3 linked regions of the Cricetulus griseus genome follow. The protein of the gene in region 2 purifies or fractionates together with the protein of the main gene of each other region. This does not show direct contact. Links are inferred from orthologs where the notes say so. Each region holds a gene or a part of one and is shown on either strand. Other genes may lie near its edges.

The links.
Region 1: the proteins of Gna13 (region 2) and Arhgef1 purify together in Homo sapiens (affinity purification with western blotting; 5 studies listed by BioGRID and IntAct, with this or other methods). This does not show direct contact. The link is inferred for Cricetulus griseus from reciprocal best matches to the Homo sapiens genes GNA13 and ARHGEF1.
Region 3: the proteins of Gna13 (region 2) and Arhgef11 purify together in Homo sapiens (affinity purification with western blotting; 3 studies listed by BioGRID). This does not show direct contact. The link is inferred for Cricetulus griseus from reciprocal best matches to the Homo sapiens genes GNA13 and ARHGEF11.

Annotation. Positions count from the first base shown.
Region 1 is NC_048602.1:9,645,615-9,649,746, reverse strand, and holds the start of Arhgef1 (rho guanine nucleotide exchange factor 1), read right to left. Parts: upstream 2,801-4,132; 5' UTR 2,668-2,800; intron 883-2,667; exon of another isoform or gene 743-882; intron 1-742. UniProt on the Homo sapiens protein: Seems to play a role in the regulation of RhoA GTPase by guanine nucleotide-binding alpha-12 (GNA12) and alpha-13 (GNA13) subunits. Acts as a GTPase-activating protein (GAP) for GNA12 and GNA13, and as guanine nucleotide exchange factor (GEF) for RhoA GTPase.
Region 2 is NC_048600.1:122,211,482-122,215,537, reverse strand, and holds the start of Gna13 (guanine nucleotide-binding protein subunit alpha-13), read right to left. Parts: upstream 2,801-4,056; coding exon 2,518-2,800; intron 200-2,517; coding exon 1-199. UniProt on the Homo sapiens protein: Guanine nucleotide-binding proteins (G proteins) are involved as modulators or transducers in various transmembrane signaling systems.
Region 3 is NW_023276806.1:66,851,996-66,856,279, forward strand, and holds the start of Arhgef11 (rho guanine nucleotide exchange factor 11), read right to left. Parts: upstream 2,801-4,284; 5' UTR 1,599-2,800; coding exon 1,567-1,598; intron 1-1,566. UniProt on the Homo sapiens protein: May play a role in the regulation of RhoA GTPase by guanine nucleotide-binding alpha-12 (GNA12) and alpha-13 (GNA13). Acts as guanine nucleotide exchange factor (GEF) for RhoA GTPase and may act as GTPase-activating protein (GAP) for GNA12 and GNA13.

The DNA of each region.
Region 1 (4,132 bases), on a different chromosome or scaffold from region 2:
TGCTGCGACCTCAGCGGTCACCCGGGATGGACCCAGCAGCTCCAGAAGTCTGTGCTTGGACCCGGAGCGTTGGACAATTAGGATATAGGTGAAGCTGGCAAAAGACACTCTTACAGGCAACGGTCAAAGTCTACTTCTTTGTCCGGCAGAGGGAGCACTTTGCACTTGAGGCTGTGGCAGGGAGGAGGGGGGGTTGTCAGGCAGGTTTAGGTTTATGCAGTGGAGGAGGAGGAGGAGGTCCTGGAGGGTGGCTGCCTGGGTTGCAAGGGCCAGGGTACCCAAGCTTTCAGAATGGAGTATTCGGGTATTCAAGAACCTCTAGAAGCCTTGAGAAACCTAAGAGAGGCTCTTGGAATGTGTATGACCCTGCCAGATTCTATTTGATAACAGTGGGCCTCAAGAACCCAGCTAGGTGAAGATGACTGGAAAGAGAAAGCAAACTGACGGGCTTGTGGGACCTCCACGGGGGTGTGTGCTGGGTGGGTTCTGTGGGGCCCTGGTTTGACCTGGGAGAAGCCCATGTTTATTAAAAAAAAAAAAAAAAAAACAAAAACCGGGTTTGCGTGAAAGGCTTCCTGAAACCTGGAAGGTATGTAAGGTCTTACAAGCGATGTAACGTGGCGGGTCTTGAGGAGCCCTAAATCTTACGAGGAACCGATCTACACGGGCGCTCAGTACCACAGCGACTGTGGCAGCACGGGTGTCAGGGAAGACGTGCAGGAGGGAAGGCTGCGGATCTCACCTGTCGGATGGGATGGATGAGAAGCCGCTGCAGCCTCCGGGACCGAAGCCTCCGCGCCCGAGCTCGGGGTTCCCCCACCCGCGCCGCAGAGTCGCTCTAGCCGAGCCAGAGGCCGCCTTGGCGGCCAGCTCCACTCCTCCCTCTGGCTGCTCTAGCCCGCCTCCTGCCACTCTCCGGCCTCGGCAACTCTACTCCTCCCGCCGGCCGCTCGCTCTCGCTCCACGGCGCCACGCTGGCCCGACGGGGCCGCTCTGGCCCGCGCTGGAGGGCCGGCGTTTCCGTATCTCGACTGCTCCTGTCAGTCTCCCGGGTCCCGCCCGCCCCTTGCGGGAGTGGTGGCTGCTTCCAGCGCCCGCCCGCCCCGCTCGCGCTCAGTCTCAGATCTCCAAGTCGCTCGGGTCTGAAGTGCCCACTCATGGGGTCTTCCCACCTCGTCCACCTTCCCCAACTCCCCAACCTGTTAACCGACGCCGTCTGTCGCCCCTTCAGCTCCCCCCCGTCCCCGCCCCGCTGCAATCGGAAAGAACAAAACAAAACAAATCCAAACCCACCCGTGCGCTTGAAGTGTTCTCTCTCCCCCTGACAGACGAACCAGCGAAAAGCAATGACTTCTCTCTCTAGGCCTCAGTCTCCCTGTCTGTCCCCGGTCTCTCCCCTACACCCAGATATCTCCCAGAGTATAATTAATAACCCAGGGAGGGGGGAACTAGAAAAAGCTTCCTAGGACGTTTTCAACGCTCCGCAACTCTCGGCTCCATACTGTTTATTTTAGGACCTCTAACCTAGTATCCATGGGCCCTACGACGAGGGGGTCCCTCCCCCTGGGCCTCAGTTTCCCCAGGGGTAAATGGGGGTCATCGTTCTGAGCTGCGCTGAACGGTGGGCAGTTTGGATCCCAACCTAGCTTATCTCTACCTACTGTGCACTCTCTGTCTGTCTCTCTGTGTGTGTCTGTCTCTCTCTTTGTCTCTGTCTCTCTCTGTTTCTCGTTTCTCTTTGTCTCTCCCTCTGTCTGTCTTTCTGTCTCTGTCTGTGTCTCTTTCTGTCTGTCTCTTTGTCTCTCCCTCTTTGTCTCTCTCTGTCTGTGTCTCCCTCTCTTTGTCTGTCTCTCTGTGTCTCCCTCTTTCTCTCTGTCTGTCTGTGTATCTCTGTCTCTCCCTCTTTGTCTCTCTATCTCTGTCTCTCTGTCTCTGTCTCTCCCTCTCTTTGTCTCTCTGTCTCTCCCTCTTTCTCTGTCTCTGTCTCTCTCTGTGTCTGTCTCTCTTTCTCTCTGTCTCTCCCTCTCTTTGTCTCTCTGTGTATCCCTCTTTCTCTCTCTCTGTCTCTGTCTGTCTGTCTGTGTATCTCTGTCTCTCCCTCTTTGTCTCTCTGTCTCTGTCTCTCTCTGTGTCTGTCTCTCTTGTCTGTGTCTCTCTCTCTGTCTCTCTGTGTCTCCCTTTCTCTCTCTCTGTCTCTGTCTGTGTATCTGTCTCTCCCTCTTTATCTCTCTATCTCTGTCTCTGTGTCTGTCTCTCTTGTCTGTGTCTGTCTGTCTGTCTGTCTGTCTCTCTCTCTGTCTCTCCCTCTTTCTCTCTGTCCCCCCACCTCCTCGTCTCTCATTCTCGTTTTTGTTTTTGTTTCCTTTTGAGGCAGGGTCACGCTAGGTTGACCAGGCTGGCCTCGAACTCATGGCAATCCTCCTGCCTCTGCTTCCCAGGTTCTGGGTTGACAGGCGTGCGCGCCAGCCACCTCGCGGGGGTTTCCTCTGGGCTGTCTTTGACAGATGAGAAAACTCAGGTCCCAGGAAGGGAGGCTGCAGGCTCACTGCCCACCCCACCCCCGGCCCGGAGGCCCTCGGCGGCCGCCGGGTCCCCTCCCTGCTCCTCCCCACTTCCCCCTGCGGCCGAGGGGGAGGAGGAGGGCGGGCGGGGCCAGGGACCATGTACCTGGTGTCCGCGCGCGCGGGGAGGTGACCGGCGGGGCGCCCGAGGTCGGGCTCGGCGATCCCGGGCCCGGCGTCCCGGCTCCGGCTTCCTGGCTCCAGCGGGCAGGAAGTCGGGGCGTTTTTCCGGAGCCCCCGCCCGCCGCCCCTCCCCGCTTCCTGCCGGCGCCCCGTGCCCGCCCGGCACCTCGGCTTCCTTCCCCTTCTCGCTCGCTCGCTCGCTCGCTCGCCGGCTCGCCGGCTCGCCCGCTCGCCCGCGCGCCTCCTCCTCCTTTCCCCGCGGGTGCGGCCCCACCCCGCCCCGCCCGGCTCCCCTTCGCCTTTGTCCTGCTTTATGGCCTCCTGCCCCGCTGCTGCCCAGCTCCTGCCCTGGCCCTTCCTCTTTTCTTTTCTTAGTTAAGGTAAGGGCTCACTAGGTGGCCCTGGCCGGCCTCGAACTCCCAGAGACCCGCCTGCCTCTGCCTCCGCATCGCAGAGGTTAAAGTGAAAGGTGTGCGCCTCCCTGTCTAAGCTCCGCGCCTCCGCGCGCCCGGGCGGGCGAGCTTCACCGTCTGCGAGCCCCAGGCTCTCCATCCATCCCTTTCCCCCAAAGCTGTCTTCCTCCCTGGCTTCTGCTGCTTCAAACCGCAGCAGCCGGTCCCCTGCGCCTTTTATCACTCTTTTCTTGCCGCTGGGTCGCTCTCATCCTCTGCGACCTCAACTGTTGTTGCCCCTCAGGCTCGGGCTCACTGGCCAGCCAATTCCTGTCTGCTTCTTGGCGGGGTGGGGGGAGCCCGGAATGACTGTCTAGTCCCAGATCTCAGAAGTGCCCTTCTCTCTCTCTCTATCCCTGTCTCTGGGGACTCCCCGGGTCCCCCCCTTTGCCTCACTCCTGTCTTTAACCGCCTTCTTGTGTCTGCTCTTCCCGACTGAGTGCCCCTGGGTCACACCGCAGTGCCACTCTCCACCATCTTCGGGTTCTTGACATGAACTCCCCAAATCTGCCTATGCAAGTGAACCCATGAGAGAAATTAAGTCCCACCCCGAGGAAATAATACCTCGTGTTTTCAGAGCTTAAATATGCCTAATAGTTTGCTGACAACCCTGCTGGTTCCCCCTTGCTTAGGGCCGTGGAGAGGGTGAGGCCCTATAAAAGACCTAAACCAGCCCTTCAATTGGGGGTGGGGACTTCCCCAAGAGACTTCCTGTTTCTTGGTTGGGTGGGGGGAGCCCGGAGTGACTGTCTAGTCCCAGATCTCAGAAGTGGGCAGGTGAGAACTTGGGTCCAGAACCCTAGGTCTGAGGGAGGAAGGGGACGAGGACGGGCTTCCGGCTCCTGGTTCCCTGGCAGTGTTGAGGGGCGGTCCTCATGAGATCCATGACTCCTGCCAAGGGCTGCTTTGGGAAGGATTTATTAGCACTTAAGTGGCCATGACAGATCTGGGAGGAGGGGGTGACACTAACGAGGCTGCTGTAATCAGCTCCCCTAG
Region 2 (4,056 bases):
GCATTCTGTATACCACTGTCATCCCACAAGGCTTTTATAGCAGGAAGATACTGCAAAAAAACTCGAGTCTCCACCATCCCCTGGGCAGCCATGGGGGCACGGGTATCAAATGCCATCAACTTGTCACCATGGAGCTGGTTTTTGTTATCTCCCCAGGGAATATGAAGCTTCTCTCGGGCATCTACCAGCACCCTCATACCTTTGTTTAAAAAGGAAAAAAAAAAAAATGTGAGGAAGAGTCATTAAGATACCATCACAACCTTTCACCCCAGTGTTATTCAGTATTGGTTCCTTAATTTTTTTTAGCTATTACAGAACCCCCACTCCCTAAATGGAGACCAGAATCAAAACAGAACCTTTATCTTCTCAGAGGTTTAAAAAACAATTGTTCATTGTCTTAAAAGTAGAAGCCTTGGAAAGTAAATATCGATAACAAAAATCTCTCTTGGAAGGATTTTAATATGCTGTCATCCATAAAATCATGTCTGAAGTGGAAGGAGGTCAAAACCAGAAATGGAAAAAATAAATAATGCTGCCCAGCCCTGAGTCACTGTGTTCAGTCAGAGTCCTTCAGCTCCTACCAATACTTTCTTCCAGGACACTCTCAGACTCAGTTTCAAATCAGTACAGTCACCTGCTGGCTTTACAGTTACCTAAAAGCCAAACCAACTGCAAAATGATACACAAACAGAGGTCTCCACTTACTTAGGTCAATTCAAACTCAATACTCTTAGCACCAAACTGTTACTTCTGTCTCAATCTATTAGGAAGTCCTTTCTTGGGATACATGAAAAAACTGTTTTGCTTTCAACTTTCTGATCACCCCAAGAAAATAAGATGCCTAGTTAGACTTAGGCTTGATCACACAATAATGCTCAAAGTAATTCTTAGGCCCAGTATATATCAAAAAAGCAGGTGTTTACCTTACAGTGAATACTTTAGTCTATTCATTAACATAATTCTTTAAGTTCAACTGCATCAGGATACAAAGGTACCTTCAATTATGGGCTAGCAAGGTACACTACAGCCTTAGAAGAGACCTTAATTAGTTTTGTGCTAAACATTAGGGCAGACTAAATACAAGCACTCTTTACAGTTTAACTGCAGAGGTACAGGCTAAGAAAGAGCCGTGGACTGTGAGCTCTTGGCCTAGCCTTCTCCCCTCATTGCCCTACAATGCCTCCCTCTCTAGTTTTTCCCCATTTGAAATCCTGAAGAGGCGGGAGGAGAGACATGAAGGGGTTTGCTTCATGTACTTCCTGAACAACAACAAAAAACCCACTTAAAAAAAAATAAAGCCACATAACAACTGAAAAGATCTACGATCGTAGTTTGCTTCGAAGTCCCAGATAAAACAGGGTGACTCCTTAATCACTCAAAACATAGGGCTCTGTGCCTCAGTTTTGACAATGTCTTTTATGTAGAAGATACATAACACTAAAGAAAAATTTTTAAGAAAGGTGATATTTCAAATGACAAGAGCCACCTCCAAAACTTCCTTGAATGCTAGGAAATAAAGATGTCGTGTGTTTTTCACTGAGGAACAATATTTTAATTTTAAAATATTGTCAAACAGAATTTGTAACGCCCATGATCCAACACCACACATATTCACTAACTTCTGTAGGTCTCTTATGACTTTTAAGCCAAAGAGTCTTCGTAGTTAAACATACATTCATTTAAGTATTAGAAATGTTGCCCGTTTTATTCCCCCTCCTGCTCCGAGTTATTAAGCAAAAGAGAAAGAAAGCAACATGTTGAACTGTTGAGTACAAACATCCTGTAGCACTGGGGCGATAAAACCACTTGTGCTAGGTTTTTTTTTTTTTTTTTTTTTTTTTTTTTTTTTTTTTTTAATAGGCTCTCCTGATGCTAGTTCAGTAAACTCGACACCCTTGAGTTTCATACCTCTTGCCCCAAAAGGCCCCAGAGGCTGTCACTCTATGCCCTTGACAAGAGTCTCAGGGCAAAAAAAAAAAAAAAAAAAAAAAAAGTTTCCTCATTGCGGCGGTTCCAGAACTTGCTTAACTCAAGAGGTGGCCTAGGAAGCCCAGAGCTGGAAGGGTATCTGCGCCGGTTTCTAGGGTCACCCACCCACCCACCCGTGGCGGGGAGAAGAGGGAGGGGTTGAGAGTGTGGGACCTGGGGCTGCTGATGGGGTGGGCTTGTCTGGTGTGCTGGGAGGACACCAGTCGCCCTGCTGCCCGGAGTCACCCTGCTCGCCACACTTCCCTCTCGGAGGGGGCGAGGCCAGCCGAGGGGTGCGGGGCCGACCGTGACCCTCACTGGGGTAGCACGGGGGGACAGCGGGGCGCCCCGGATCTGAGGGGCCAGGGCACAGCGGCGCACGGGACGGCGCCCGAGGCGCGCCCACCCGCTCGCTCGCTCGCTCGCGGGCTCGCCCGTCCGATCTGGTCCGATCCAGTGTCCTCAGACTTGGGACCGGCGGGTGAGGGCGGTGCCCGGCCCGGCTCCCCAGGGGTCCCCGGGTCCCCGAGCCCCGCCGCGCCCCCGCACCTTTGATCACGTTGCTGTAGATGGTGGGGCGGAACTCCTCGCGCGCGCGCTGGTCGAAGTCCTGGCCGTGGATGATCCGCATCTGCTTCAGGAAGGTGGACTTGCCGCTCTCGCCCGCACCCAGCAGCAGGATCTTCACCAGCCGCTTCACGTAGGTCTTCTCCCGCGACAGGCATTTGTCGATCTCCTTGGACTTGCGCTGCTGCTCGGCCTCGCCGTTCGTCAACACGCAGCCCGGGAAGCACACGGACAGCACGGAGCGCGACGGCAGGAAGTCCGCCATCTTGCCGCCGCCGCCGCCGCCTCGGCGGGCCCCTGCGGCTCCTCCACCTCCTCCTCCGGCAGCGGCTGGCTCCGGCAAGGCGGCTGGAGGGCGGGGAGCGCAGCGGCGGCCCGAGCGCGCCCGGGGAGGGAGGGAACCCGAGGACTGACTCGCCAGGGCGGGCCGCGCCGGCCGGGGGAGGGTGGGAGGGGTGGGAGGGAGGGCGGGCCCAGGGAGGGGCGGTGGCCCTCCGGGCGTGCACGCCCCCGTCGCCCGACGGGCACGCGCACGCAGGCACGCCGCGCTGGGGAGGCCGGCGCGAGTCCCGCTCCGCCCCCCCACCGCTCGCTGGCCGAGGAGGCTGCGGCCGGGAGCGCGCGCGGTGAGAGGCGGAGCCCCCCGCGAGTCACGCGGGCCGGGCTGGGCGCGCGCCTGCCGGGCCGGACTTTCTGTTTCCCTTTAGTGCCGTCGCTTCCCGGAGCCCCGAGGCGAGTGAGCCCATCCCGATGCCACTCTCTTAGGGACTCCTTCTCTCTGCAGTTCTCACTGCCCTTTCCCCTAGTGACTCGCCCGCCGCCTGCTGTCACCTCCTATTTTGAGATCATTGGCTGGGACATTACCGCACAGACCACCGCAAGCCTGGAAGGTTCCTGGGTGCCTCCTCCTTCCTTCATCACATTTTGTCCCCCCACTCCACCACCCCCCCCTTATTTTAACTCTTGAGATAGGATTTCATCGTACAGCAAAAGCTGGCTTAAATTTGTGGCAATCCTCCTGCCTCAGCCTACCTCTCCACTGCTGGGATTACAGGCAAGCGCTTTAATCCAAGCCCACGCATTTAATTAGCAGCGACTCCCTTGCCATTCTACCATCCTGAGTCTAGAAGGATATCTAGATGTCAAATGTCTTATTGATCAACACCCCTCTGGAGCAGTTCAGGGCATTATTGATACCTGCCCTGGTTTGAGAAGAGTTAGAGTTGATGCTGTTCATGTGAGATGTGCTAGCAAGGTCTCTGGTGGCTGGCTCGCTAATGTGGATCCCACCCGAGCTTCATTTGTGACTTGGGTAATGCCTGCTGAGGTCAGTGAATGGTGGAGAGGGTGAGGTCATGGTGAAAATCCCCCTAAACCGGACACTGTGATGCGCGTTCTTCCCAAGGAAGCAGATAAGCCTACAGCATAGGACTGCGGCAGGACATTTTAGGTTTCCTGCCAGATTACAGAGGATATGACTGGCAAGAGACTTTTTTTTTTTCCTGTCATAACAGCAGATCA
Region 3 (4,284 bases), on a different chromosome or scaffold from region 2:
ACAGAAACATTATTAGGTTCAAATAAGAAGAGTTCTAAAGAAAGCACTTAGGACCCTGGGATCTGAATCTGTGAAGTCATGCAAGCTCCTACAGGATCATATCATGTTAACCCAAAAGCCCTCACTGCCTTCTCATCCCTCAATACCCGGTTTCCATATGCTCACATCCCCAATTTAATAGAAATTTGTGACACCCAAATCTTAATCCCCCTACTCCAAAAGGACACTAAGGGCAGACAGGCAAGCACCCTTTACCTCCTTGCCCCGACAGCTTCAGTTATCCTTTCCCAGGGGCAAATTACAGAAGACCACAACGGAAAGGGAAGGGAGATGCCAAGTAGCCACATTGCCTTTGTGGTTGCCTCCCCTTCCCCACTGCAAGACACTTTCCCTCACAAGTACTACTAAACAGATTTAACCGGGACTGTGAGGCAATACAGTGGTAGTATTGAGGAGATTATTATATGCCACATTCCACAATCAAAATGAAATTACTATTAGCATGTTTAACCAAGGGATAACTGACCCAGAAAGAACAACTGCTGACTTACTGATTTTCCTCCCTTCCTCATAAATACTATTTTTTTCATTTGACTGTTATCATCCAACCACTTACCTACCTATCCAGTTAGGATGTATGGAATATCCACAAAACACGCCCCCTTAGAGGATTTTTAAGGCAGAAGAGTTGAAGAGGAGAAGGGGAAGAAACGACAAGACAGATACCTACCAAAGTTGTGCCAACCCTTTGGAGGACAGAACAATCCAGCTGCAATGTTGCCAATAACAGGGAAGGCAGCTCAAGCTCATGGGGGAAGGGGCATCATGTGCCTCCAGCTGATTTCAAGGGCCTAAGAGCCAAACAACTCCTTCCGGCTTCAAGCAGAGGGAAGGCCTGTTTTGCAGAGTCAAGCTTATTAAGAACAGCTTGGCAAATTAAACCTCAAGCATCAGCCTGTTGGTAGTTCTCACTGTAAATGCTAAACCTGAAGAGGAAGAAATTGAATGTGGCCTCCCCATTTGGAGCTCTATCAACCACTGGTGAAAGTTCTGGTACGGACACAGGGTATTTCTGTCCCAACATTTCAAGCCAAAAGCATCTTCCTCGTTTTAAATGGGAACCACCCTACCACTTCATCCCGCCATTCCATAACAGTCAGCCTGATGGAGGCCCACAACCCTGCCAGTCACCCCCCTACCCTCCGCAAAAATCTTAAGCTAGTCCCCATTCACCCCTGTGGGTTCCCATGACCAGGCTTGGTCCAGGCTTGGAATCCCTAGGCTGGCAAGTTGAGGACCCAGAGCCAGCCTTACACCTGGTGTAAGGCAAAAGCACTGAAAGCATCTTCCCCTCCTCTCCATATCACTGCTTATTGGCTATAAACGACACAGAATTTGGAGATATGTTTTGGACATGGACACACACACAGAGGGACTATAAACATATACTGACAGTACCCACAGACTACCTTACCTAGCCCACAGCTCAGTTCAGTCAAAACACAACATCAACTCCCAGCCTTTTTAATAAGTGTTGGGAAAATCCCAAAGTATGTGCAAACTTACCTGTCTATACTATGGGGTAATCTTATGCTCATGGTTTCTCGGTGTCTTCACAGTTCCGGAATCTTGTAGCTTCTTTGGATGTCTTGATCAGGCCGGAATCCCTTAAGGTTTTTAAGGAAGGTGAGAGGAGGGCCTCCCAAGTTGAAGACTGAATCCTTTTTCTTCCAGTTGTCAGGACCCTGGTAACTGCAGAACCAGTGTACGCCCGCCACTTAACATGTCTCCTCCTCTCTTGACTCTTTAGCCTCCCCTTCCCTTGTCTTAAAAAAGAAAATGGAAAAAAAAAATAAAGAAAAAGAAACCTTCTTAGAAATCAAAACGTCAACCACAAGTGTCTTTAAGGTTAGTACTATGGGCTAAAAAACCACAGAAAGAATGCGACTTCAAAATATCAGTCTTAACTGCAGACAGATAAAAATCATCCTCTCAATCCAGTTTTCCCAGCTGTCCTTCTGTTGACAAGGGAACCTTAAGCTCCAAAGGTTGAAAAATCTCTGTTTTCCAAATGCTTAAAATGCCAGGGAAGGAAAACAAAACAAAACAAAAAAGGCTGAACAAATCCGAAATGGCACTCGGGGAAAAAAAAAAAACCTTCCAGATGATTTGCACAGTTAAAATAAATAAAACCATACAGCAGTGTGTACACAGCACGGAGTCCAGTGGGGCCCTGGGAAGCAAAATTTGTGAATTTCTCAAAAATCAAAACAAAACGCCGATCTTTTACATTAAAGGCTTGGAATTCTGAAATGAGCCAATTGTGCAGACATACACACACAAAAAGAAAAAAAAAATCACAAAACACCTGAAGCGCAATGCTTTTTACCTTCAAAACGGTAGCATTGGCCAAAACCCCAGGAAATATTAAACGCTCTTTTCCGTTTCGACCTGCAGGTTCCTCCACCTAGCCCAGTCCAGTGCTCAGACCCAGCCTCGGGTCGGCCTTTTTCAGAGACAATTTCCTCAGTCAGCGCTGTGTGCTCCTGCACGTCCAGGCTCCGAAAGTCCCTCTCGCCGCAGCGCCCTGGAGCGACGGTCCCGCTTCCCCTCGCCGACCGATCGCGCCCGGCGACCCGCTCCCACTATTGTTGCGGCCCGGCTAGGGCCAGGGCGCCCTCCACAGCGGCGCGGAGAGCCCGGGCCGCGGCCTCGGCCTCCGTGCCGGTCCGCCGCCAGCCAGCCAGCCAGCCACAGCCTCCCCGCTCGGCCGCTCCCGGCGTCCGCGTCGCGGCCGCTGCGCTTCCGGCCCCGCCCCCGCGCGCGCTCGCTCGCTCGCTCAGGCCAGGCCCGCCGCCGCCGCCGCCGCTCCGCCCGCCCCGCCCCGCCCAACCCCGCCCCCGTCAGCGGACTCTGCTCGCCCAGGCTAGCCGATGGCTCCTCCTTGGCGCCGCCCAACCTCTGGCGGCCCCGCGCGCCCCCGGCCCGTGCGCTGCGGCCTAGCTGCTCCCGGTGTTGCTGTCCCGGAGGTTCGACCTTTGTTTCTGCAGTGTCCGCCGGCCGCGCCTCTGTGGGCTCTCTCGCTGCTGCCCCGTCCTTCTCGGCTCGTTTTCACTCATTTGTCGAGTCTCCTTCCACGTTACAAGGCGCCCCCAAACTGTGCCCTCCCCGCTCCGAATGCCCACCGACTCTGCCCTCTCGGTTTCTCTCAGAGTAGCTTGGGTATCTTGTATGGCGTTGCTTTTTCATTCAGTGAAAAAGCCTTTCCAGGACAATGTTATTTTCATGACGCACACCCCCTGCGTGAAATCACGGTTTCTCAGTCTCTTCAAGTAACCGTCGCTAGTCAGAAGGTCCCAAGACTGAAGTAAAAAGAAGCATTTAGACTGAGGAGGAATTGTCTTCTTGCCTGGGGAAGCTGTGCAGGCGCTGGTGTATTTCCATGTACTACTTTCCCTTCTGCCTGCCTTGGTCTTGGCCTACCTGAGCCCGTTCAAGTTCCAAGCTTGCCTCCTGTGTTAGCAACGGAGAAAAGAAACTGATTAAGCATCTATTTAGGACCTACTAAAATCAGATTCCCCTATGTTTTTTTTTTTTTTTTCTTGCACAGGTTGATGAATGAACTTTGCTATAGTTTTGTGTGTGTGTGTGTGCAGGTGCATGCGTGTATGTTATGTGACTTCCTGAGGATATACAAATAGGCATCTGTTCACATCAGATAGGGCACCAACAATTTCGCCAAAGCCTATCCTAGTGAGCCTGTGGATTTATTGGCGTTACTTCTAGGAAAATGAGCAGCTTAAAGACAGCTGCACACGAAAAAAACGCACTCCAGCACGGGTGAGGACAGTGGACTACCGATCACCACTGGGCCAGTTGGAGTTGTTATTGCTTCCTATAACCTTGGGGAGGGCCATTGTGACTCTTGTTTGTTACAGAAACTTCTTGAACTTTCTGAGCGCTTACCTTCTAGATCGTAACAGCTGATGTGCTCTTGCACAGGTGTGCTTGTGGAGACCAGAGGACAGCAATGGGTAGCATTCTTTCTCAAGTGCCAAACAACCTCACCCCCTTTTGAAGACAAGAGTCTCTCAACAGCCTTGACTTGCTGAGTAGGCCAAGAATGCTGGTGAATAAGCTCTACACTTTCACCCTTCTTAGCATTGTGATTACAAGTTCACACCTCCAAAACTCAGCCTTTTTATGTGAGTTCTAGGGGTTATGTAGCAGTTTCCTCTCAAGTTAAAACCTTCCATCTTGGAGGAAAACTCTTTAAAATGTAAG